7 linked regions of the Coturnix japonica genome follow. The protein of the gene in region 4 purifies or fractionates together with the protein of the main gene of each other region. This does not show direct contact. Links are inferred from orthologs where the notes say so. Each region holds a gene or a part of one and is shown on either strand. Other genes may lie near its edges.

Region 1 (4,167 bases), on a different chromosome or scaffold from region 4:
GCATTCGTGTCTTTACTCACCCTGCCTGCCAGACCTGACAGGCACCTCAGATCCCCTCAGTCACTTCAGCAGCACGCTGCTGTTGAGGGCCAGCTCTGGTCCTGTGTGCTTGGCCAGCCCTTACTTGGGTACCACTAGGGAAAACTCCCCCAAAACAGCCACGTGGTCCACGCAGCCCCAGGCCTGGCAGCAGAACTCACCATGAAGAAGGCGCCACGGTGGTAGTACTTCTGCAGGAACTTGTATTTGCCCTTCACTGCCTTGTTGGTGATGACTTTGCCGTTGGCTCGCAGCTCGGCACGGCGCTCCTCCTCTGTCAGGTTCCTCATCCGCTCGATCTCTGCCTTCTCTTTCTCCATGCTGGGCAAAAGAGAAACCCTGAGCCCCTGCATCCCTCAGTGCCCTCCCAAGATGGGACAGCTGCTGCCACCCGGGACTTTCTGACGAATACGTTGACTGACTCCATAATGGAGTAAAGCACCTCAAGAAAATTCCTGATGCTGCCAAAACAAAGACTGAGAAAGAGACGCCTCAACTGCCCGCTGTCCTGCAGGGCCTGGGACTGCAGGGACCCTCCCCTGCCTTAAGCAGACAGTACTTACGCTTCTCGTTCTTCACGATCCCGTTTGATGCGCTTCAGCTCACGTACTTTCCAAGCCTCGTACTCCTCCTCATCATTCTCATCGTCTGTATCGAGAGCATCAAGTGCTGCCAACGAGCGCTTATTCTCTTCCAGCTCCTTCTTTGCCTCCTCTTCCACGATCTGAAGCCAAGACCAAGCTCAGCTCACTGCAATGGCTGCCCCAACATGCATGCCCCAGTCTGCCCCGCTGTACCTTGAGTGTGTACTTGCGCCTCTCTTCTGCTAATCTCTTTGCCTCCTGTTCTAGCTCCTTCTGCTTCAAGGCTTCTGCTTCTCGCTCCTGAACTGTGATCCGGTCCTTCCTGTGAGCAGGGACCACAAAAGCCTTCAGCCTTTCAACATGCCACTGCAGACCTCTGCTCCCACTGCAGCCTCTTTTAGTCTTTATGCCCCCCACGGCAGGGCCAAGTCCCAAGGCTCTCTCCTTTCTGATTTTGCTCATTCAAGAGCGACCATACTCAGTCTCCTCACATCTGCAGACATGCACAAAGGTGATGGGAGACCCTGCTACTGGCTGTGGAACATGTTGGAGCACACTACCTGGTTTCTGTTGTGCTGTACCTGCCTAAAGTCCCCAGTTGGAAGTACCCAGCCATGCCCTACCAGGTCAGTCACTGCCCATCCCTGATGCAGTGCTTGGCCCATGCAGCTGTATCACCTTATCACCTACTTGCGGATGAAGACAGGTTTGAGACGTGGCTCCATTTCATCCTCGCTGTCTGTGTACTCCTCGTACTCAGACTCTGACTCAGACTCTTCTCCAGATCTGCCCTCATCTTCCAGCTCCATCACTTCCAGCTCCTCAGTTTTTCTCTCCTGCGCTCTCTGACGCATCATCCCACGCCGACGCTCGATCTCCTAATGGAGACACATCAAACACAGACTCAGCCAACCAGCCCCACTATCGCTTCCTTCCTTTTTCCATATAAAAAGCATGATGTTGAGCTTATATGATATGATGTTGACTGCTTATATAAGCCCACACCTCAGAACGCAGGTGACCTCCCTGGTGCCCCATAACCCACAGGCTGTGGTCACACCACAGCTGGCTTTAACTCAGGTCCCAACATCCACCCAGTCTCACCACAGTTCACGTGTGTCTGCAAGCACGAATTCCAGACAGGGCCTAAGGGGACTTTCCCAGGCCACATCTGCTCAGCAATATAACGAACCTCATCATCGATCTCTTCCTCTTCCTCTTCACTGGTGTCCTCTCTCTCCACACGCCACGCTTCACCTTCTACCTCAGAATCACTCTCTCCGACCACTTCAGGCTCCACAATTTTGCGGTGTCTTGCCAGCCTGCAACAAATGTCCACTCGACTACGAAGCTCTGAACACAAGGAGACTAAAGAAGAGAAATCTTTGCGATCTGTTTCTAATGAGACCGTAGTCAGACCCGGGACCACGAAGCGTGTGAAGGAAAGAGGCATCCCCTGCGTGCTCAGGAGCCCGGAAACACAAAGCTGGGGGGGAGCACGAGGAGGGAGCAGAGCCCGGAGCCGAGCACTCACCGCTCCTCCACGTCCTCAGTGATGCGGTTCTGCAGCCGCCGCAGCCGCGGGTCGTTGGCGACCTCCTCCTCCTGCTCCTCGGGCTCCACCTCCTGCTCCTTCGCCTTCTTGATGAACTGGAACTCCTCGTCCTCCTCCTCCGAGGATTCCATGGGCGCGTAGTCGGGCCGCTTCCCCGACACGTACCGCTTCACCTTCACCTTCTCCATAGACAGCTCGCCTGCGGGAGGGGGGGGAACAGCAGCGGGAGGAACAGCAGCGGGAAGCCATGAGCAGCCGGGCCATGAGCAGGGCGCCATGGGCAGCCGGGCCATGAACAGCCGTGAGCAGCCATGGGCAGCCATGGGCAGCCGGGCCATGAGCAGGGCGCCATGGGCAGCCATGTGCATTCATGCCATGAACATTCACGCCGCCGCCGTGCCCGCGCCCCCCGCCCCTCCCGGCGCCCCGCACTCACCCTTCTCATTGCGGACGGGCACGGCGCCCGCCGTGGACTGGATGGGCGGCTGCTTCACGAGAGCGCTGGGGGCCGACATGGCGGCGGGACGGGACGGGACGAACCGCAGCCGCTCACAGCACCGACCGACCGACAGACCGACAGACCGACCGCTCACCCGGAACTGCAACTCCCGCTTCCGCCGGCGTACCGGAAGTGAACGCGCGCCGAACCGTCGCAAGCCGCCGGAAGTGACGCTCAGCGTGGAGGTCATTTCCGGCTCCTGTGGCCGGATGTGGAGCTGGTTTCGGCCCGGTCCGGTCGCGGTGCAGCGGCGGTTCCCCTCAGGGCTCGGTTCCCCTCAGGGCTCAGATCGGCCCCGCTGTGATCTCTCCGCTCATCGCTTCGGGGCTCGGGAGTGGTGACGTGCTGCGGAGCCGGCCGCACGTAGCCCCGGCCCGCGCCGGGTCCCTGCCCGGGATTCCCGGGGCCGGCTGCCGAGTCCTGCCCCTGCTGCTCGTGTGGCTGCGGCTGGAGGCTGCGCTCAGTGTCGGTGCTGAATACCGGGTTACCATCGGTGCTGAATACCGGGTTACCATCGGTGCTGAATACCGGGTTACATCGGTGCTGAATACGGGTTACCACGGTGCTGAAACGGGTTGCCCATCGGTGCTTGGAATGCCCGGGTTACCATCGTGCTGAATGCGCGGCGTACCTCGGTGCTGAATTTACCGGTTACCATCGCTCTGCAGGGCTCTCCCCGGGCTGTCCCCCGCCCTCTGGCTGCCAGGACTTTCCCGCAGCACCGGCCCAGGGCAGAGGGAATTACCCGCAGGAGCAGCCCCTACATGGAAGCGGGCAGGTTTCCTGCCCCAGCTGTTGCTGCTCACGTCAGAGCCCTTCACACACCAGTTGGGTTTCGCAGGAAAGCAGCCCAGCGCCAACTCGTAGCAGCTGCCCACGCGGTAGCAGCCAACCACAGGAGATAAGATTTCTCTTGAAGCCAGGAAAAACTGGGTCACCAGCCACCACAACCGCGTCTGCAGCGCTGCGGTGCCTCCCCAAAAGAAGGGAAGAGGTTTTATCTTCCGGGAAATCAGCACGGGGGTGCCAGGCAGTGAGACCTGCTCCTGGGGACTGACCTCAGCATTCCCTTGTGCTGGCAGGGTGGGTCCCCTGGGCACAACAGCTCCTGGGTAAGCCTGACCCTGCTGGTGCTGTGGCAGGAGAAGAGCTGCCACTGAGCAGGCCCAGGCAGAGCTTTTGGCCGCTCCAGGGTCCCTGTGATTCTGCTGTGCGTGCAGCCAGACCCCAGTGCTGCAGTTGTCCCGCTGCCTCGGGCACTGGTGGCTTTGTGCTCCTGCAGCAGCAGTGCTTGGGGGTAGGCAAGTCCTTCCTGGTGTTCCTGGCCTTGATGTCCCGATGACAATTAGAGCTCTGTGCCCAGCTCCTGCTCCGCTCCCAGTCATCAGCTGAGATATCAATTTTGTGTGGTTATCACAGCGTGTTCCTACCTAATGGTTCCCGTGTCACCATGGCAAGGAGCGAGCTTCAATGTATGACTCAGTGAGTGA
Region 2 (3,500 bases), on a different chromosome or scaffold from region 4:
ACACATCCGGCCCATAAAACATTTAGAAGCATCAAATCTCTGTGCCTGATGGAGGCTGTGGGGTTGTGAGTGCCAAAAGAACCAGGAGCCGTGGAGCAGCAGCTTGGAGGAGGCAAGAAGAGCTGGTACCCACCCTGAGTCTGGATAGGGTTGAAGAAAGGGAACTTGTCCTGGTAGAGGCTCTCGAAGGCGCTGTTCCGCAGGGCAGAGACGGGCAGGGGCTGCAGGTCCAGCAGCTCCGTGGGAGGGGGGTACTTCTCAGGGAGGATCAGGTGGCGGAACGAGACGGGCAGCTGGGTCTCACAGGCTGTCAGACACACAAAGTGATTCTATCTCAGAGAGCTGCCTCAGCCTGGATGTCACCAGGATAACAGCAGCCCTTCCCCACCCAGGGCAGCCCCAAAACCTGATACCCCCCCATAAGACCCCATTGGGAGACAGGTAGGCAGGGTGGGACGTACAGAGCCAGCGGTCAGACACCACCCTGATGAAGTACTGCGGGGGCAGAGGCTCAAAGACGGGCACAAAGAAGGTGACCAGGTGCTCGTCCTGGGCGTATTTGGCCTTCAGCAAGAAGTACTCGTGGTGCAGGATCACCTCGCTGTCCACATCCTCCACCAGGATCCAAAAGGCTTCGGATGAGCCATGAACCTGAGCAAGAGGAACCATCACCATATGCTGCTGGATGCAGAGCTCCAGGGACTGAACAGCATCACAGCAATCCTGCCCCATGAAACACCACCCTACCCCCATTGTGATGCTCAGCCTGCCTGTATTTCACAGCCCTTCTTTACTGAGGGCAGCTCCCCTTGGTTTCACTGCTCACCTTCTCATCCCATTGGAAGTCGGGGGCAATAGTGAGCTCCACTTTCAGGGTGGAGCGGGTGATGGGCTGCAAGTGGACCGAGAGCTCCAGCTTTGGGAACAGATGGACGTATTTGTGGATGGTTTTGCCCATCTTGGGCATCCGGATCAGTTCTCCTGCAAGAGAAAGGAGCTGCCATCAGGATAAGTGGACGGCAGGGTTAATAACAGCTCTGGGACTTCACCCAGGGCAATATCTGCAACGTGAGCACAGCTGGACAATGAGAAGAGCTACAGGAAAGCCCCAGTCTAACTCAGGCTGCATAAGACCTTACACCAGGTCTCAGCCAGGATCAGGCGCCCCAACCTCAGCACCCTCAAGGCTCACCCCCCCTGTGTTCCCAGTACCTATTTCATTGTGGTTCAGGTCATAGAGCCGTTCAAAAGGGAAATTCTTCTTCTCGATTTTCTTCACCACTTCCTCAGGCAGCTTCTTGAACTGGCGCAGAGGACACATGGATTGCCACCTGCAGGGACGGCACCCACACAGCTGCAGGCCTCACTGGGGTCCCAATGCTGCCCACCAAGGCACCCCTGGAAGCCTAAGCTCAATACAGGTGCTGTCACTTACATCCGCTTGTCGATCATCTTGCAGAGGTTGAGGGTCTTATCTGTGAGCTGAGCCCAGCCCCGGTTCAGGACGATCTCGAAGATGGCTCTCATCAGCCGCCCTGCAGACTGGGGGGGCATCAGAGCTCAGCTGGGATTGTGGCATCCAACACCTCCCCCTCCCCACCTCCATGGGATCATCACACCCAACACCTCCCCCTCCCCACCTCCATGGGATCATCACATCCAACACCTCCCCCTCCCCACTTCCATCCTCTGCTTTCAGCTCACGTTCTTCACCCCCAGCCACTCAATGGAGGCGCACTGACTCAGCTCCCAGCCTTGGCAGCTTTGGTGTTTATGGCAGAACAGCCCTGCAGCCTCTCAATTACCTCCTCAGGATTCTAATTAGAAACCAAAGACTCCAAAGATCAAACCTGTATCCCGATGGGAGCTGTCTCTCCCTACCACTCACAGCTCTACTTATGTTCCAAGTCATTTCAAACACCAACTCAACCCCTGGGTTGCAGGTTGCTGTCCCTCCCACCAGCAGACACCATTGAGGAGATGGAGAGGCCCTGGCCACTGTTCCTCACCCACCTGGGTAACGTACACCATGTCTGCCATGAGGGCAAAGCCCTCCAGCTTCAGCTGGGAGATGAAGGCCTGCAGGAGCACGTTGATCTGGGGAAGCAGAACAGAGGGATCTCAGCAATGTGAGCATCCCCACGGTGTGAGCAGCACATCTCAGAGGGCTCTAAGCTCTCCAGAGCTGCAGGCCCACACGGCAGCTCCTATAGGGATGGATGCTGTCCTAAGGTGGACACAGCAGACCCCTGGTTTGGGCAGACTGGGCTCACCTTGGCACTGGGCTCCTCTATGCTTTCCTTCACAGGGATGGGAACTCGCTCCAACAGCTTCTGAAGCTCAAGCTTCTCTTCCTATGGAAATCCAATGGAGGAGTGATGAAACAGCCCCAACATGAGACAAAGATCTGCAGCATCCCCTGCAGCATCAGGGCTGTATCACTGAGTACACACGCATGGCTCCTTACCTCCCTCACTGTGATGTTTCTGAACTCCGAGGACAGCGAGAAGACCCGAAACAGCTCGATCTCACTCAGGGTGGGTTTCAGGAGCTGGTTGTACGTTTGCATCGTCTCGTTGGTGATGTAGTAGTGGCTGGCAATGCGGCCCAGCTCCGTCACCTGCAACAAAGACAGCAGCCATAGCAAAGCAGCAGAATGACACCCCACTGTTTGTGGCATAGAGAGAAGGCACGATGGCCATAGCAGGGCTAACACCACCAGACAAGCTGCAGGTAATCCCTCAGCCCACAGATCCCCCAAGGAAAGCTGCTTTGTCAACACGCAGCTCCACTCCTCACACCTTCTCCTTATGGGATCTGTGTTTAATCACTGATTAATCACTAATTTACCCCCCTTCTCTCAGCCAGAGGACACTCCTGCCCGGCTCTGCTTGGTTATAACCCCTCTCCCTTCCTCACCTGGAAGTTCCCCGTCTTCTTGTCGTACTTCACCAGGTTGTTCTTGTCCAACATGAGGGCTGCGGTGTGAACCAGATCCAAACGACGCTGGTCCAGCAGCGGATCCCCCTTCAGATCATCGTGGGAAATGCCATAGAGAGTGGGGGAGCGCAGCATGCGGATGTACAGGTAGGTATAGCCCAGCCAATTCACTGCATCCTGAGGGACAGCAATGCACCATCAGAGACCCCAGACTAACCAAGCAGAGCTGCTGTGTCACTGCAAAGCTCCCACCATCCCCAGCAGCTCTCTGGGCTCACAGCAATAAAGGGGTGGCACCCACAGAGCAAACTAAAGCTCACCTTTGCATTCTGGACGTTGCCCAGCACAGTTTCTGCATTCAGCATGTCTGGGAGCTTCGACACCATCTGGCTTTCAATGGGGAGCTGCTGGTTGAGCAGGGACAGGTAATACTGCAGTTCACCATGGGATGTGATGAGGATCCCCTCACCTTTGGTGTCGTATTGAGGCCTCCCAGCACGTCCCAGCATCTAAGGAATGACAAAGTGAGCTCAATAACAGCTCCTAGTTTGGCAAGTTCT
Region 3 (3,142 bases), on a different chromosome or scaffold from region 4:
CAGTCATCAAGCCCAAATACGCTGCAGATGTGCAAACCAAGCAACCCTTTCCTCCCTCTAAAAGAACACAAAAAACCCCACCCAAAACAACAAAAATGACAATAAATAACTAAAACCTTTTCTCTTATCTGGAAAATTCACAACATTTGAGTCAGACACATCTGACTGCATATAGTCTTAAGTTTAAGTTTCCAAAGACATGGATTCTACAAACAAGTGCTATATCAATGCCTAACACTTACCGCAGGGTAGCCCCACACTTCCTTTCAACTTAAAATACTATACATTAATTCAATATTATGATTGCAATCTATTTCCTGCATAAACCCTAATCACAGGAACACCACCATATTCTAACACAATAAAACCATTTCACACCAGTGAGCATCTCCACAAGGTAAAATTCAGGCACTGATGTCAAGGAAATGGAGAAAGCTGTATGTAATAGCTTCTGTAGTGGGGAATCCTGTACTAGTACAGTAATGAAGCAGCTTCTTTGCTTGTGACTCACCTTTTATCAGGAGCTGCTCTGGAGAGATTTCTGTCGTGCTGTCTCTCTTTGCGTCGGTCATGTCTTATTTCATCTCTTTCTCGAGCTTCTCCATCCTCTGAACACATGCAAGATTGCTTATTACAGACAGCTACTCAAGTCTGAATTAAACTACAGCACAGACATTGGCACAGTGATTCAATATTCATTTCCAAAAGAGAAGGGATCCTTAGCACCATATGTTACTTTTTAAACAAATTAGAAAGGAGAACAGTAACTTTCTCACGCCACAAGCAATTAAACGTCCTTGACAAGAGAGTTACAGCACACATACACAACAACTATGTTTTCTGAACTTTAAAGAGCTCAGAATTCTTGTCCACCTACAAATTAACATCCCCAACAGCTGCAGATGATTGTGTCATACCCTCTTCTCTGTTACATGTTAGTATAAAAATGTCATTCTAATACAAGGCATCTTCCAAGCACCTGGACAACCTGTTCCACTGTTTTTTGTCCTCATGATGAAATCTGTTTCTCTGCGTACACTGGTGGAAGCACACACTTCAGCTTTTAACCACTATCTCATTCTTCCACAGTGTAGCTGTTGATCTCTCCATAGGAAGGCTGACATTAGGTTACCATCAAGCTCTCTCTACTGCAGGCAGAGCATGCTTCATTCTCTCAGCATCTCACCACACAGATGCTCTGGCCACCTGGCCATTTTGGTGACCCTCCACTGAACTCATTCCTGTTCATCAATGTCTGTCTTGAACTGAGAGTCCCTTAAGTGGGCACTATTCCAGATGCAGTCTAGCAGATGACCAGTAAAGGAAAAACAACTATTTCCCTTGTCCTTCTGGCTGCACTCCTGCTGATGCAGCTTAGCATACCCCTAGGAATACTGCTGCCAGGGCGTGCTGCTATAGCTTTTCTTCAGCACATCGTCCGCTAGGACTCCCAGAGGTGCTTCTGAACACAACTGCTCTGCAGCCTGCTAGTTCTCAGCCTGTACTGCTGGAAACAGATTAGTCCATCCCAGCTGCAGTATATGACCACATTCTCCACCTTTAAGTGACATTAAGAGAACTGCTTTGTAAGTTCAGCACCCTGATCTCTGAAATGTCATTTCAATCAAGACATAACACACCACAATGGCTATGATTTAGTTAGGTTATTAGATTCTGAGCCTGGTAGCCAAAGCTACTTCTCCTTAAGACCAATTATAACAACATCAGAGACAGAATACTGCGTTTACCATCTTTGAAAACTTAAAGATCATTTAGTGCTCACAGATGAAGTCAAAACAAGCCTTTTCTGAAAAAGAAATCAAATTACAACAGTCCATGAAAGCCCTTATGTTGTAATGATCCATCCACTGTACTGATACAGTGATCAATTTCTCAACAACCTCCTTCAACCTGACGTTGAAATTCAGATCCCCATGAATTAAGCAAACGAATTTGGATATTTTAATTTCTCAGGTTATTTCTGCAAACCTACACTTCAGAGAGTGCAAAAAACCAAACGACTCCACAGAACCTCAGCAACAAAATGTACCTTTTTCAACGTGGGTTTTAATCCCTGCTCTCCTTTCTCTTGCTTTCTGGGCCATTTCTCGGAGCTTTTCCTCATGTTTCTCTTTTTCTTTCTGAGCCATTTTCCTCTCCACCTGGGCACGCATCTCCACAGCCTCACGAGCCTGCACACATAAGACCCCTAGTTAGCACCTGGGATGCAGATCTTCTGTCCCGGAGTTACACGGTAAATGGGAAGAATTGAGTCCTATAGTTAAAGTTCAAAACCAGAAAAATACCAAAATTCAAGCTGAGGAACAACAGACATGACCTGCGATAATTTAATCCACACTGAGCCGCTGATTCAAACACACTGGGGATAAAAACGTTACAGTAGCCTAGAAGCAGGACAGACCAAAAAGCTATAGCACTCTCCCAGCTGATTTTCCCAAGGAATCAAGCACATAATAAAGGTACAACCACATGAAACAGAACAGCTTAAACAACCACCTGACCTTTCTGTCTGCTATATAGAGAGCCTCAGCAAGCTTGGCAAAGTTTTCATTGATGTGAACAGTCTGCAGTCCTCTTCCATCTGCAGCCAGACGCTTGTCTAATGGGATGGTGTAACCCTAAAGAGGAGATGAGCAGTTACAGAAATTAGTAAGGCTTTTAATAGCAAACTTGTATTGCATTTATTGGGTAAGAAAACAACAACAAAAAAAATACACTATCACAGAAGTCAGCCAATCATTCATTGTATCATCAGGCCCCCCTCCAGGGGCCTTCTTTAGACGTACTCCAAATTCATACCAGGCAATAATAAGCAATTCCACCCCCACCTCAAATCTAGATCACATTTTTTGTTCAAGTATGAATGAGAATGAATTTGTGATTAATAAGCTCCACCTTTTGCTTTAAGAATTCCAGATGACAGCTCTCCTACTCTCTAAGTAGTTTTACCATTTGTATTTAAAACTCGACTCCCCTGAACTGTTTTTAAACCTATTAAGAGACTGGCTGACTCAAAAATGAGAAATTAAGGGCCAAGGCTGTAAGCAAAAGCAAGAGACTCTAGATGCTGCCTGCTGAAATCTGCAAATATCTATAGATATTTTAAGATCCCTTAGATAAC
Region 4 (3,500 bases):
TCCTCCTGTCCAATGCCATTCTGTGCTGCCAGAAGTGTTTGAAAAATGGTGGCAAGATCTCTGTTTTAATGTAGTTTGCTTCAACACCATCTGTACCACAGCATTGCTTTACCACCTAGTGGGAAAAAAAAGCCAACAGTGTTAATTCTGTGTACAGTTTGTTTGGTTGTGGTGTTTTGGTTTTGTCTTAAAGAAAAGGAAACATATATTCAATGTTAACACTAAACATTCAGTTTTTATCAGTTTAATTTATTCCACTGCCAGTGTCTGAACAAATAATTCTGACGTACCTTCAAAACAATCTTTTTCATCTCTTCATCAGGAGACTGGAACTCTCTGATAAGAATAAGCATGACTTCTCTGGTATAATAGTTGGCATACTCAGCATCCATGAGCGGTATCAGGTAACCAATAGCCTTCAAAAAGGCAGCCAACCCCTATTTAAATGAAAAAATATATTCCCAGTGAGTTACGGAAGATACATATTCATTTCAGTTTAAACTGGAAGTATTTTAGACATACCTTTCCTCTGTGTTGACGTATACCCTTCCACAAGGGCTTCAGAACGGAATCAAATGACTCAATACCATAGGGAGTAGCTGCCTCAGCTAAAGCAGCAATAGCCAAAGCACTGATGGTACGAACCTTCTGCTGCTCATCCACAAGACCTGCGAAAGAACACACTCTTTAGTACAACTTTGCGTATCTTACACTCAAAATAGCAAAAACATGCAGATAGGATAAAAAAAGCAATCATTTAGTTTTTAGGAAAACAATCAGTGTTTCTCTTTTGAAGTCAAGCAAGTTATTTCTCACTGTAAAAAAGGCTACACAGAACTTTGCCTTATTAACACTCCATCCCAACAAGGCAAAGGAGAAACATTCTAAATACAAATCTTAAGCTAAAGAAAGCAGAACGTACCATGTTCGATAATTTCAACCAAGCTCCTGAGATGAGGCAAGATAGCACAACCCATAAGAATAGCAATTTGCTGCACAATCTTGATGCCTGTATGCCTCGCTTGCCAGGATTTTTTGCTTTTACAGACAGCTTTCAAGAACGGCAACAGAGAAGGAATGCCCAAAGCAGAGGCAACAACAGCAAAGGCTCGAGCTGTGGTATTTCGGACATATTCATCCATGTTATCAATATCAGGTCGCATCGTAGAAATCATTGTTGCCAAACCAGCAGCCTGAAAGAAGAACACACAAAACACACAGATTTATCAACAGCACGCTACGTTTTCCTGCCATGACTATAAGCAGCTCCGTGTGGCTATATACAAGCTAATTCCTACCATAGGATTACAATTTATTACCTTAGCCAAGTTGGAAATAATTTCTCTGCCTTCCACTCTGGCGTAATAGTCTTCATCAATCAGCAGTGGTTCAATGACAACAAGAATCTGAAAAAGATGAAAAAATACACATTTCCATTTGTGAATAGGTACTATTTCTGGTCCTAGTAAGAAAATTATGATTCCATGAAGCTGAGATAATTCCATGGATTCAAGCTTTCAACTTGATGACCTATGATGTCTTAGATCTGTTATGCCTTTTTTTTCCCCCTCCGACTCTCTTTTAAGAACCTCCCCCACGGATTCTAGCTACATCAGGTAAAATCTCTCTCCCTCTCCCAAGTGTGCATTAACGTTTTAACATTATGCCTTAGTACTGTAATATCTGCAATTGGATCACACTACAATAGGTTCAAGTTTGACTGAGAAAGAAACACAAAAGCAACATGATATTGCCTTCTCTTCTGCTATGCAAATGAACTGTACACTTCCCCAACCATGATCACAAAAAGCAAATCAAAGATGAGCAAACTGCAACAGACCTTATGTACGTATGGTCGGACCAGGTCATCCAGTTTGTACAGAATTCTGTCTATGACTTTGACAAGTAAGTGGCGCTCCTGATCCTCCAGTGTTGGTGACATCAGCAATGGCAGAATCTGATTAAACAACGGCCCAGCTCCAAATTCCCGAGCTTTATCAGTAATTTGTCTCAATGCAGCCTGAAAAACAACAACAACAAAGGCAACTGTCACTTAAACTAAGGAAACAATACTGAACAGTTATTGGACAAGTAGGTATTAAGCAAGTTAAAACACAATCTATTGTAACCATGAGCTTCACAATACTTGTTCCTACCACCATTTTCTACACAAATACATATGATGAGAAGACTCAGTTATTCTATTTTCAAGGAAAGCATGGCTCAGTACTAAGAATGGCACCATCTAAAAAGGCATTTTACACAGCACTCACTTCAGGTGCTCAGATCAGCTTAGAGTGAAACGGCCAAAAATGGATAATCTATTGCATCAGCGAGCTAGGAACTTTGGCAGTATAGCTCTTAAGAAGCCAAATATAGAGAATTACAAAGCCCTGTAACCAAAAAGCACAACAGAATCTTCTCTCCCATAATTAAGAATTATTGTATTATATTCTGTAAATCATATGACACTTAGCAATCAGTATTACTGCACAAAGAGCAGCAACAACAAGCAACACGGACACAGATGGAAGAGAAAGCATTAAACACACAGCAAAGCTTAGGAGGTAATTTTGAAGAGAATCCTATGGACAAGCAGGTGAAAAGAAAGACATAGTCTGAAGATGCAATGGCAGTGTGTTAACAGATGAAGTGCTAAGAATGTCTGCTAATCTCACCTTTCTCATGGGAGGTGTGCCGTTCTTTATTTTCAGAAGTAATTTCATTATCTTCCTCTCCTTCTGCTCTTCAGGACTAAGAGTTGATTCATCAACATCAACCTAGAAATAATTCCAGACAAATTAACAGGCATTGGTATACCTCAAAAGATCAGAAAACTTTAATCAGCACAAGTGAAATATCATTTACCAGCAGCTTATCAAAATACTGGATATCATCTGGCTTCAGGAATGGAAGGTTGCCAGAAGGCTGGTCATTGACACTCTTCATAGTCCGGTCCTCTGTCTGCATGTGGAATCCAGTCATACCACCCAAAGGTGTGGGAGTTGCCGTAAGTTTACGTGCTGGAGTACGAATAGGTACATAACCAGCTGGTGGGGGAAGAACCTGCAGAAGAAAGAAGGAAATATGCTAAAAACTGCACCAGAGAACTAATGTAAAGAACCTTCACAGCCTTCAAGGCTCATCTTACCACAACAGATGCAAATTGAGCAAGGTCCCAAATGCAGAACAGAAATAAAACAGAACATAAGTTTTTAGCCCTCCATAGATTTGTGTGTTACTGCATACATCAGATCCCACATACAGTGATTTAATTCACAAATTCAGCAGGATAGTTCATATTCATGCTTATTCTCTATTGACAGTATTTCAGAAGAGGGCTTGGGTAATGGACTTAACAAGTCTTTAGAAACTATTTAAGTTTCTAAACTTAACCTCCAACCCCACCTTCAATATTTGTATCAACACTGTATATTTATGAAGTCAGAATCTGTCACCCTCTCCTGTCATTCCACATTTGCGCTTTCTTTCTGAACTCA
Region 5 (3,500 bases), on a different chromosome or scaffold from region 4:
TAATGCTTAAAAATGTATATATCAGTAAGCTATATGTGTAGCACCTTTACTGCTCTGGGCTTCTCAGGAATTGGTTTTCATACCCAGAATATATTGCAGTCAACAGAATTTCTTTTGCATGTGCTTTGGCATGTTCCTTGAAAAATCAGCAACACTGAGCATGATAAAGCTAATAATAATTTAAGTAACTGATTGGTTATTAGCAGAAAGAGACACGTTTCTGTACAGTTTCTCAGCTGTGAATATTACTAGTGGAGGCAGTGATTAATAACAAGTGATTTTTTTGTAATGTGTGCTTCGTTGCTCAAGATGTTTCAATCCAAGTAGCCTTAAAAAAAGAAAACGTTCTTGTGGGTGTTTAATCTTTGAAGCAGGTGTTGTTTACGATGCTGTAGGTTAAGATATCTTCGCTTTGATACATCCCAAGTTTATCCAGATAAGTTACCATTAAGACAATGGAGAAAACAAACTTGCATAGAATTTGCTTTTATTTCAGTATTTTGTCCTTGCTTGTGTGGGTTTGGAAACCAAAACCTTTTTTCCCCTCTGATACCTCTGCTGATGATGCCCTTCTACTGAATTTCTCAGAATAACAACAAACGAATGTATTATCTTCCCTGCTGTCCAAAGAAATCTTTTATACCCCCTTCTATATCTTCAATATCCTGTGCTTATTTTCTTTCAGTTATACATTTGCATCTGGTTCTCCAGATAACATTAAGCAGTGGAAATTCCCAGATGGAAACTTCATTCAGAACCTCTCTGGTCACAATGCTATTATCAACACATTGACTGTAAATTCAGATGGAGTTTTGGTCTCAGGAGGTAAATGAAAAATGCACATTCATATTCTTTCCCACTCCTCACAATGTACATATGACTGAAGGTTCTTAGGGTCAGGATGTTCCCTTAGCTCTCTTGGACTTATAAACCTGCTATAGCCTACATCTTTGTTTTGAAAGAAGTAGAATCCCTTATATTTTTTGGTTCTGCATGCCCAAAAATGTGTTTGAAAGCAATCTGAAATCTCCAGTAGGGAAGATATTTCTGAACAGAGAGCTTAATGTTCAGAATATCAGTCTTTTCTTTGCTTCCAAAGCAGTGTGCTGCCTTGTGGGTTATTTGATTCAAAACGGGATGAGATTCTGAGGAAGCTTCACCAGCCTACTTAAACAAGATGAATCTTCCCTCTTAGCTAAGAAAAACAGGAAACCTGAGCAACCTGATCTAGCTGTAGGTGTCTCTGTTCTTTGCAGGGGAGCTCTTGGCTAGATGGTCTTTGTAGGTCCCTTCCAACTTAGATGATTCTGTGTCTGTGTTGTACTTCGAATGTTGCTTTCAGTTTTGGGCTCATAGAGCTTCTCTTTACAAGAATGATATTGAGTCGCTCAGACCATGTGCAAAGAAGAGCAGTGAAACTGTTGAAGGGACTATAAAATAAATGTTATGAGAAGTGGATATGGAAGCTTGATCACAATACTGTTTTTAGAAGAATGGTAGAAATTAACTGGGTGAAGTACTAATTATTTTTGCTTTGATTTATTTTCAGCTGATAATGGTACTATGCATCTTTGGGACTGGAGAACTGGCTACAATTTCCAGAGAGTACACGCAGCCGTACAGCCAGGCTCTTTGGACAGTGAATCAGGAATATTTGCTTGTGTTTTTGACCAGTCTGAAAGCAGATTGCTAACTGCCGAAGCTGATAAAACCATAAAAGTGTATAAAGAAGATGATACTGCGGTATGCCAAAGCATCTCTTTTATATATTTTCATGAATTCAAAAGATTTCAAGTAAACTTTAGGCACAGCAGCAAGGAACACGTATATACCCTTGTTGAATCTGTTCTGTTAATATTTGAAAAGAACATGTATGCATAAATCTAAAGAGGACAGCAGCTTCCTCCTAATTTCTTATCAACTGCTATAGAGCAGATAAGTTGCATGTCCATCAAATCTACTCAAGTCATTTTTGTTAAAATTTGGGAAAATCTACCCAAAATAGCAGCGGATTTTGTGTTTAGAAGGTGCTCAAGAATTTTTTAGTTGTAATCATTAAAACATGAATTAGCAAGAGGGTTACGTTTTAAATACACACACACACACACACACACACACATATATATGTATATATATACGATATGGGTTTATTCCCACCCATCACCTCACAAAAACAGGAAGAAAAGATAAAAGCAGGAACAAGTTCTATTGTGTCTTTCAGGCAGGAATGATATTGTAATTTAATTTGGTTAAATGAATTGGGTAACTTTATTGCTTTGTATAACATGGAGTATATATCCTACGTAAGTAATATTTTAGACTAAACCCTAATTACAGATTATTCTCAAGTTAAAAACAGAATAATTCCTTACGGGGCTTCTGTTCTTCCCTTTCAGACTGAAGAAACTCATCCTATCAGCTGGAAGCCAGAAATTATCAAGAGGAAGCGATTTTAATGCAGCAACATACTTGTGCTATATTGTCTTCTTTTTGTCTTTTTTGAGAGCTTTCAGTCACATTTTGTTCTGCCTACAACAGAAGTGCAGGAAGTCAGCCAGTCTTTGCTTTTTCAGTCTGTTTTCCAATAAATTTTATTTCTTTCTTTTTGTCTTTTTTTTTTTTTTTTTGATTGTGTGATCCTGGCAAACAGGTTGCAGCTGTCAACCTTCTTTTTGTGGAGCATGTGCTGCTGTTCATGAAGAGGATAAATGTACAGGTGGTTACTTGTTTTATATGCGTCTACTGAGCGTGAATCTGAAAAGATTTTGGTGAGCTGGAAGGCCCTTGCTTTGTTCCTAAAGTAACTGAATTCACCCTAGAGTCCATCTACAGGAAACTTCTTGAGTGACACTTTTAGATTGTAGAGCAATGTTGTTTACTGTGTTTGTGTTTAGTAAATACTGTAATGGAACATTAAATATGCTCAATTGCAAAATAACAGGTTAACCAATAAAGAAATGGGATATTACAGTAATAATGTAGTTTCCTTGGACGGCACCACACTGGCAATCCTCAGTGGCTTTGTTATTGAATCAAATTGACTTTCCAAGAGTTTCTTTCCCTAGGAAAGCTTTCATATGCAACTCCATATCTTTGCTTATTTCATTTTGCAGTGGACCTGATATAATGAGAGCCACTGTCAGATTATATTGCTTAGTTAGCACGGGGCTAGGACCAGTTGACTTTATAAATCACGTGTCATGCTTTCTTTCAGTTATCTGAAGTATTTGTGACATTCAGTTACAGGGAACTCCTAAACCTGAGTTCTGAAGAAAAGCTCTTAAGTGATTCCAGTCTTAATTTTATTTAGTTTTGTCTCCCTGTGATCTTACAAAGGGTTTAAAGTACGTATATGCATGTATGTATATACACACCCTGAAAGTTTACTAATACTCCTGAAGGGGCAAATGTGTCATTGTGTTTACCACAGTCATGCAACTAGCAGTATCCATGTAATGCTCTTTGCTGCAGTTTCTCTTTGTTGTTAATAATGTTCATCA
Region 6 (4,226 bases), on a different chromosome or scaffold from region 4:
CACTTATGGAAACTTAAATAGGACAGATCCTTACATGGATAATAGTGATAAAATCCAGCCACATCTGACATCCCAGCACTAGGATTTAATGCAGAGATGCTGCCCAAAGAAGAAATTATAGATTTAATCCCAACCAGCTGCCCTATCTAATGATGATATTTTACCAAAGTACAGCTATTAATATAGTTTGTGATGTCGGATCACTGTATCACAGCCTCAAATCCATCACCAACCCACTGATCCACCAGAAAGCACCCAAGGAACCAGCTGTTTTGACAACAAAGGGTGGTAATTGCACGTAGAACCTCTAACAAACTTAATTAGAGCCATGCATGCTCAAGCCTGACAGTGACACCAGAGCCTGTCCTGTCTCATGTTGTAACTACCCAAAAAGCACAGAGCTATCAGGAACTTATCGGACCAACAGCAAATCACTTGATGTACATTTCTCTGCCTTCTCCAAGCATAGAAAGCTGAGAATAAAACCATGCAGATTTCCGTTTACAGACAACGTGAAAAATGTTTATTTGGGAAATACATCCCTTATTGTTTCAGACTACAAAAAAAATCACTCCTACAAAAGGAGGGGACTTTGAGCTCAGCATGCAATGCCAGTTACATGTAACTTTCTATCTACCAGCAGGGGTAGATCTCCCACTGCACCTTCTTCATTCACTCCAAACCATTCTGAACTGCAATCACTGCCCTAAGAACAGCGATTTCTAGTTAGAAACACTTTGTAGAAGAGTGATATTGTCTCCTTTTAACATGATCCGACCTGCAACACAGAAAGGAAATGGGGGATTAGAGAGATCCCAGAATCCAAGAATACCTCATGTTTTCACATATTATCCCACAACAGGAGATGCTTGCAAGAAGATGCCCCTATTATAGAGGGGGAGGGTTGCAATGAGTCCTATCCCTGCTGGCAGCCCCATATGGAAAGCATAGCAGGGCAGGGTCCATACTCATAATCCACTCCCAACTCTCAGACACCATCTCAGCCCCAGCAGAACACTGTCCCTGCTATAAACTCAATCCGAATCAACGCATCCCCTCATCACAGACAGCTTTATCTTCTCCAGCAGCGGTAAATAGTAAATACCACCAGTCAGGTGGCTCCTGCTTTGGCCAAGAGTTGACCCAGCAGGTACGAGAATTGCTCAGGGCTACCAAGTTTAGAAACAGCCCAAAGGAGTTTGGACCAGACTCCTCCAGACACCTCAGTTGTACAAAGACAGCATTTAAAAGATAACAACTGGTCTCAGGCACAGGGAGATTCTCCTTTACATTCAGCAAAATCATCACCTTTAACAAACATCAGGAACAAAGACTGAGCCAGCACCTGCCCAATGCTCTCCCAAACCAACACCTGGCATGTGCTTTCCACCTTTAAGTGTTGCTACCAGCAAGGCTCACCCAACCACCTTTCATGCTATAACACGTTGACATACCCAGCTGCTTCCTTGATTTTGTTTTGGAGTGAATCTCCTCTGCATCATCCAGCACCAGGTTCATATATTCATCGAAGCCCTGAAAATCAGTGGCAAAAACACTCAGTTGGTAGCACACAGACTCATGAACGTGGGAAAGCCAATGGTAACACATGGACATGTTGGTACTCACAATGATGCAGCCTTCTATCCGCATGTTCACCTGCTCATAAAGCCACACCTGGATCCTGGACCTCTGCAAAACAATCAGGGTGAATAAACTGGAAAAGAAATGCTTCAAGCAATGCTGGTCTTTGCTTCTGTGCATTTAAGAAAGCCTTGCTAGTAATGTGGTGAGAAATCTTTGCAACCAACAGCCACTGCAGCTCTGAAACACCCCAAAGAGCAACTCCCAACACAGAACCTTGTAGGTGTGGGTTATTGAGTGTGTGTTACACACACAGGGGCACAATCAACATACAAAGGTGTTAATGCAAAGGGAGAACGCTCATCTCTGAGCCAGCTCTTATGCTCCCAAACAGCACCAGTTCTTCGTTTGAAGCCGATGGGCTCCAAAAGCAGCCAAGAAGTTACAAACCCAAAGGCGAACCCAGCCCTGCCCCGGCCCCAGTACTCACGTTCTGCAGGTAGCGGAAGATGAGGTTCTGTAGAGCAGCGTTAAGGACGGGAACAACTCCAGAGAGACACAAGGCCCTGCAGGGCCGCTCCTACCCTCCACTCGCCATCGGCCCCAGAGACGCCATAGGCTCCATAGGCCCCATAGACCCCACAGGCTACATAGGTCCCACTCGGCCCCAGAGACCCCACAGGCCCCAGAAACCCCATAGGCTCCATAGGCCCTGCAGGCCCCAGAGACCCCATAGGCCCCACAGGCCCCATAGACCCCATAGGCTCCACAGGCCCCACAGGCCCCACAGGCCCCACAGGCTCCATAGGTCCCAAAGGTCCCACTCGGCCCCAGAGACCCCGCAGGCCCCATAGGCCTCAAAGGCCCCACAGACCCCATAGGCCCCATAGATTCCCCCATAGGGCCACACACCCCATAGGCCCCATAGACCCCACAGGCCCCATAGGCCCCATAGGCCCCACAGGCCCCATAGGCCCCATAGGCCCCATAGGCCCCATAGGCTCCATAGGCCCCGCAGGCCCGTCCCCTGCCCCTCCGGACAAGGATACGATGGGCTGCACCATCACCTTCTGCACCTTCTGGCCCTGCCCTCGATACGCCATGGCTACTCCCTGCCCGCCGCCACCACAAGCTCCGCCGGAAGTCGCAGAGAACACCGGAAGCCGCTGAGCAAGGCGGGAACGCGCAAGGGACGCTGGAAGACTTGCCGCTCTAGGAAAGCGGGAGGACCGCGTCTCTACTGCTCGCAGATCCCACCAGTGCTGTCTCGCATTAAGATCCCGCCCACCAATACGCAAAGAGGCGGCGCATGCGCAGTGGTGGCGGCGGCGGGGCCATGGCGGGCGAAGCTCCGCTGCCCTCGGTGGCGCTGGCGCCCCCTGGCGGCGGGTCTGGGCCTGGGGTCGGACCGGGCCGAACCGACGGTACCGAGGGGCTGTTCGTGGCTCTGGGCGCTGGGCTCGCCGCCGTCAGCCACCCCCTGCTCTACGTCAAGCTGCTCGTCCAGGTCCGGGGCCTAAAGGGGGTGTGGGGGGGATGAGACCCCCGTGTGGGGGCAGGGGGGAGGCCTGAGGTGTAGGCCGAGGTGTGAGGGGGGGTCGTGGGGCGTCTCTATGGGGTGACGGCCTGTGTAATGATGGGGAACCCCATAGGGAACTATGGGGACCCTGTGCAAAGGGAACCCCCCATATGTGGCAATGGGGGTTCCCTCCTTATAATGTGTTGAGGGGGGTAATGGGGGGTGACGGCCTGTGTAATGATGGGGAACCCCATAGGGAACTATGGGGACCCTGTGCAAAGGGAACCCCCCATATGTGGCAATGGGAGCTCCTTATAATGTGTTGAGGGGGTTAATATGGGGGGTGAGGCTGTGTAATGATGGTGGAACGCCCATAGGGAGCTATGGCGGACCCTGTGTAAAGGGAACCCCCCAATATGTGGCAATGGGAGCTCCTTATAATGTGTTGAGGGGGGTAATGGGGGAGTGATGGCCTGTGTAATGATGGGGAGCCCCATAGGGGGCTATGGGGACCCTGTGTAAAGGGAACCCCCCATATGTGGCAATGGGAGCTCCTTATAATGTGTTGAGGGGGTTAATATGGGGGTGACGGCCTGTGTAATGATGGGGAACCCCATAGGGGGCTATGGGGACCCTGTGTAAAGGGAATCCCCCATATGTGGCAATGGGGGTTCCCTCCTTATAATGTGTTGAGGGGGGTAATGGGGTGAGGAGGGTCGTGCTGTGTGATGGGGTGGCACTCAGTCACCGTTATCTGTGTGTATGGATCCCACCTGTAGCTGTGAGGATGGAATGGGGAGCACTGTGGGAATTGGGATATTGCTGCATCAGGGACAGCTGTATAACAGGGAATGGGAACTCATATATAAACATATATACCAAAGATAAAGACCAACGTGTGCAGTGGAGGCTTGTTTATGTGACAGGTGAGGGGACCCCATAAAATGGGATGGATGAAGATACCCACACAATGGGGATTCCTATATAACAAAGGATTGAATGTGGGTCTTCATCCCTCTTCATCCTCAGAACCCCTCTGTAATAGGGAACCCTATAAAATGAGGGGGATGGGGGCCTCCTGTACCCCAAGAGGAGTAACAGGAAAGGGACTGCCTATATCATGGGA
Region 7 (2,421 bases), on a different chromosome or scaffold from region 4:
GATGTGCTCTGTAAGGCTTAGCAGTGAGATAAAATGCCTGAGCAGATGTTGGCACGGTGTTGGGTACAGCTGTTGAAAAGCAGTGTGTTAACTTCTGGTACAAGTAACTGGGCAAAGAGGAAGCTCTGTGTAGTGCACTGAGGCCGCTGTCTGCCTTGCAGCCCTCTGTGTGGTTTGACTGCCTGGCTAAGAACATTTCTTGTCTCGTTGTCTTCCAGGGTGCTGACAACCAAGGTGCAGGAGAACAAGGCAGACCAGTCAGGCAGAACATGTATCGAGGTTACAGACCACGATTCCGCAGGTATGCCGCAGATCAGCTCTTGCTTTAGCCTTGTGCTCTAGCAACACAGCCAGGACATCGCAGTGCTCAGATGCTGCATTGTTAAAGCCCAGCTTGACTTTCAGGGGTCCTCCTCGTCAAAGACAGCCCAGAGAGGATGGAAACGAAGAAGATAAAGAGAACCAAGGGGATGAGACCCAAGGTCAGCAGCCACCTCAACGTCGGTACCGTCGTAACTTCAACTACAGACGCAGACGCCCAGAGAACCCTAAACCACAAGATGGCAAAGAGACGAAGACAGCCGAACCACCAGCTGAGAACACGTCCGCTCCCGAGGCCGAGCAGGGCGGGGCTGAGTAAATACCGGCTTAACATCTCTACCATCATCCGGGTACGTGTTGGGTGCTCTGGGGGGTGTGACTGGACAGTGGGCTCTTTACTTTGTGATGCTTCCCTTTGAGTTCTGCTTGTGTTAATGCACGTTGGAACTGCTCTGCTTGCTGGCTCTGCAGAACAGAACTGAGTGCTGGTTAACTGGGTGGGCTCTGCTACCGGGCTTTAAATTTCCCCGGTGGAATAAATGCATAGAATATTGCTAATCTTTAAACCTCAATCAGTCTCTGCTATGATAGTTCACCCACAAGAAGCATTTTGATGCTGGTGTGGTGACCTGAAAGCATTCTGCTAGGAGAAACAGGTGTGTGAGGATGCTAGCAGCTCTTCAGGCTTGCCAGCATTGTGGCTTTGGTTGCCCTGCCCTGAGGGCTGGGTGCTGGTTGGCTTTAGCACCTCTCCACATCTGTTTCTCATAAATAGATGTTGAGTTTGCAGGAGCATTTTGGTAGGAGCTTCTCACCTGAAAAGGGATACACTTGGTGTTGCATGGGCTGCCCTGTAGGGCTGTGGTACTGCTTGTCTGCAGGGGTGCATGGGGTCCCTACTGAAAACGCTGTCACTGCAGAGCTATTTGCTTATGCTGTCTTATGTAGGCACTGGTTCTTTGCTTTCAAAGGCAGGTATTGGTGCTAAGAGGGTCTGGTGAAGGGTGTTAATGGGTGCCCTTTCTCCTGGATCCCTCTGCTCTGGCTTCTGGTGCAGGCTTCCAGTTTCTATCACTGCAGTATAGGCTGATGGGGAGCTGTGTGTGATAAGATGCGTATGCAAAAACAGAGCATGAATTTAAACTGTAGGTGAGCCTCAACATGCTGAACACATCCACATGACGCCACGTCTGAGATCCTTTATTCCTTTCTTTCAGTTTAGTCATCAAAGAAAAGACTTAAAGAAATGAAGAAGAAAAGAAAATGAAATTCCAGCAATAAGAAATGAACAAAAAGAATTGGAACTGAAGACCTGAAGTGCTTGCTTTTTGCTGTTGACCAGATTACAAGAACTATCTGCATTATCTATGCAGCATGGGGTTTTTATTATTTTTACCTAAAGAAGTCTCCTTTTGGAAACAAGAAACGCGTTTTTTAAAAGTCTGTTTTTTCTCAATACACCTTTAAAGGTTTTTAAATTGTTTCATATATCTGGTCAAGTTGAGATTTTTAAGAACCTCATTTTTAATTTGTAAGAAAAGTACGCCTGATTTTTTCAAGTCAAACTGCAAGCATCTGTTAATAAAGGTCTTAAAGTTAATCACGGCCTGCTCTGGTTCATTCAAACCCACCTCTGTGGAAGCCGAGCAGTTCATTTGTTGCTCAGCAGTTGTGGATTTGAATGTTGGTACTGCTGGGTTTGTGCCCTCAGCTCTATGCGGGTGAAAGGCTCTTAGTCCAGCACATGGAAGTGATGCTTCCATAGGCAAAACAGGAGGAGCAGCGCAATGAATGCACCGCCGGGTCTGCCCATGGACGGCTCTAAGCGCCCTGTGGCTTCCCCTCCTTCCCACTAATGAGCGCTCTGCTTTTATCATGTTAATGCTCGCTCTTCTAATTGCTTTCCGGTGTGCTGGAGCACCAGCCATTAGCGGCCGATGCGTCTGTGTTGTGCTCTATCTCTAAATGCCTTTCAGCGTTTCTGGCTGCCCGGTAGAGCAGCAGCTTCCACCTGTAAGAGCCGCTCTTTGAACCACGGAGCTGTTGGACTGCAGTCAGCACACACAGCACAGGGGCAGAGGCTCGCTGCTGCAGCCACGG

Evidence for each region.
Region 1: the proteins of SF3B1 (region 4) and MFAP1 purify together in Homo sapiens (co-immunoprecipitation; 3 studies listed by BioGRID and IntAct, with this or other methods). This does not show direct contact. The link is inferred for Coturnix japonica from reciprocal best matches to the Homo sapiens genes SF3B1 and MFAP1.
Region 2: the proteins of SF3B1 (region 4) and SNRNP200 purify together in Homo sapiens (co-immunoprecipitation; 4 studies listed by BioGRID and IntAct, with this or other methods). This does not show direct contact. The link is inferred for Coturnix japonica from reciprocal best matches to the Homo sapiens genes SF3B1 and SNRNP200.
Region 3: the proteins of SF3B1 (region 4) and SNW1 purify together in Homo sapiens (co-immunoprecipitation; 3 studies listed by BioGRID and IntAct, with this or other methods). This does not show direct contact. The link is inferred for Coturnix japonica from reciprocal best matches to the Homo sapiens genes SF3B1 and SNW1.
Region 5: the proteins of SF3B1 (region 4) and PLRG1 purify together in Homo sapiens (co-immunoprecipitation; 3 studies listed by BioGRID and IntAct, with this or other methods). This does not show direct contact. The link is inferred for Coturnix japonica from reciprocal best matches to the Homo sapiens genes SF3B1 and PLRG1.
Region 6: the proteins of SF3B1 (region 4) and SNRPE purify together in Homo sapiens (co-immunoprecipitation; 4 studies listed by BioGRID and IntAct, counting the BioPlex papers as one, with this or other methods). This does not show direct contact. The link is inferred for Coturnix japonica from reciprocal best matches to the Homo sapiens genes SF3B1 and SNRPE.
Region 7: the proteins of SF3B1 (region 4) and YBX1 purify together in Homo sapiens (co-immunoprecipitation; 3 studies listed by BioGRID and IntAct, with this or other methods). This does not show direct contact. The link is inferred for Coturnix japonica from reciprocal best matches to the Homo sapiens genes SF3B1 and YBX1.

What each region holds. Positions count from the first base shown.
Region 1 is NC_029525.1:18,263,623-18,267,789, reverse strand, and holds the start of MFAP1 (microfibrillar-associated protein 1), read right to left. Parts: upstream 2,801-4,167; 5' UTR 2,694-2,800; coding exon 2,615-2,693; intron 2,378-2,614; coding exon 2,158-2,377; intron 1,946-2,157; coding exon 1,816-1,945; intron 1,502-1,815; coding exon 1,314-1,501; intron 946-1,313; coding exon 837-945; intron 764-836; coding exon 603-763; intron 361-602; coding exon 201-360; intron 1-200. UniProt on the Homo sapiens protein: Involved in pre-mRNA splicing as a component of the spliceosome.
Region 2 is NC_029537.1:1,047,411-1,050,910, forward strand, and holds part of SNRNP200 (U5 small nuclear ribonucleoprotein 200 kDa helicase), read right to left. Parts: intron 3,450-3,500; coding exon 3,261-3,449; intron 3,118-3,260; coding exon 2,920-3,117; intron 2,621-2,919; coding exon 2,468-2,620; intron 2,355-2,467; coding exon 2,274-2,354; intron 2,098-2,273; coding exon 2,014-2,097; intron 1,543-2,013; coding exon 1,436-1,542; intron 1,332-1,435; coding exon 1,213-1,331; intron 982-1,212; coding exon 827-981; intron 652-826; coding exon 462-651; intron 308-461; coding exon 134-307; intron 1-133. UniProt on the Homo sapiens protein: Catalyzes the ATP-dependent unwinding of U4/U6 RNA duplices, an essential step in the assembly of a catalytically active spliceosome. Plays a role in pre-mRNA splicing as a core component of precatalytic, catalytic and postcatalytic spliceosomal complexes.
Region 3 is NC_029520.1:35,692,692-35,695,833, forward strand, and holds part of SNW1 (SNW domain-containing protein 1), read right to left. Parts: intron 2,640-3,142; coding exon 2,523-2,639; intron 2,193-2,522; coding exon 2,051-2,192; intron 609-2,050; coding exon 512-608; intron 1-511. UniProt on the Homo sapiens protein: Involved in pre-mRNA splicing as component of the spliceosome. As a component of the minor spliceosome, involved in the splicing of U12-type introns in pre-mRNAs.
Region 4 is NC_029522.1:38,392-41,891, reverse strand, and holds part of SF3B1 (splicing factor 3B subunit 1), read right to left. Parts: intron 3,067-3,500; coding exon 2,869-3,066; intron 2,781-2,868; coding exon 2,679-2,780; intron 2,021-2,678; coding exon 1,841-2,020; intron 1,407-1,840; coding exon 1,320-1,406; intron 1,194-1,319; coding exon 923-1,193; intron 669-922; coding exon 523-668; intron 438-522; coding exon 291-437; intron 116-290; coding exon 1-115. UniProt on the Homo sapiens protein: Component of the 17S U2 SnRNP complex of the spliceosome, a large ribonucleoprotein complex that removes introns from transcribed pre-mRNAs.
Region 5 is NC_029519.1:18,049,370-18,052,869, reverse strand, and holds part of PLRG1 (pleiotropic regulator 1), read left to right. Parts: intron 1-685; coding exon 686-825; intron 826-1,549; coding exon 1,550-1,743; intron 1,744-2,396; coding exon 2,397-2,456; 3' UTR 2,457-3,500. UniProt on the Homo sapiens protein: Involved in pre-mRNA splicing as component of the spliceosome. Component of the PRP19-CDC5L complex that forms an integral part of the spliceosome and is required for activating pre-mRNA splicing.
Region 6 is NC_029541.1:2,015,870-2,020,095, reverse strand, and holds SNRPE (small nuclear ribonucleoprotein E), read right to left. Parts: upstream 2,791-4,226; 5' UTR 2,685-2,790; coding exon 2,631-2,684; intron 2,099-2,630; coding exon 2,072-2,098; intron 1,690-2,071; coding exon 1,627-1,689; intron 1,534-1,626; coding exon 1,455-1,533; intron 779-1,454; coding exon 723-778; 3' UTR 501-722; downstream 1-500. Other genes in the region: MTCH1 (mitochondrial carrier homolog 1), read left to right, coding at 2,891-3,088. UniProt on the Homo sapiens protein: Plays a role in pre-mRNA splicing as a core component of the spliceosomal U1, U2, U4 and U5 small nuclear ribonucleoproteins (snRNPs), the building blocks of the spliceosome.
Region 7 is NC_029536.1:5,554,770-5,557,190, reverse strand, and holds the end of YBX1 (Y-box-binding protein 1), read left to right. Parts: intron 1-218; coding exon 219-301; intron 302-393; coding exon 394-640; 3' UTR 641-671; intron 672-1,538; 3' UTR 1,539-1,921; downstream 1,922-2,421. UniProt on the Homo sapiens protein: DNA- and RNA-binding protein involved in various processes, such as translational repression, RNA stabilization, mRNA splicing, DNA repair and transcription regulation.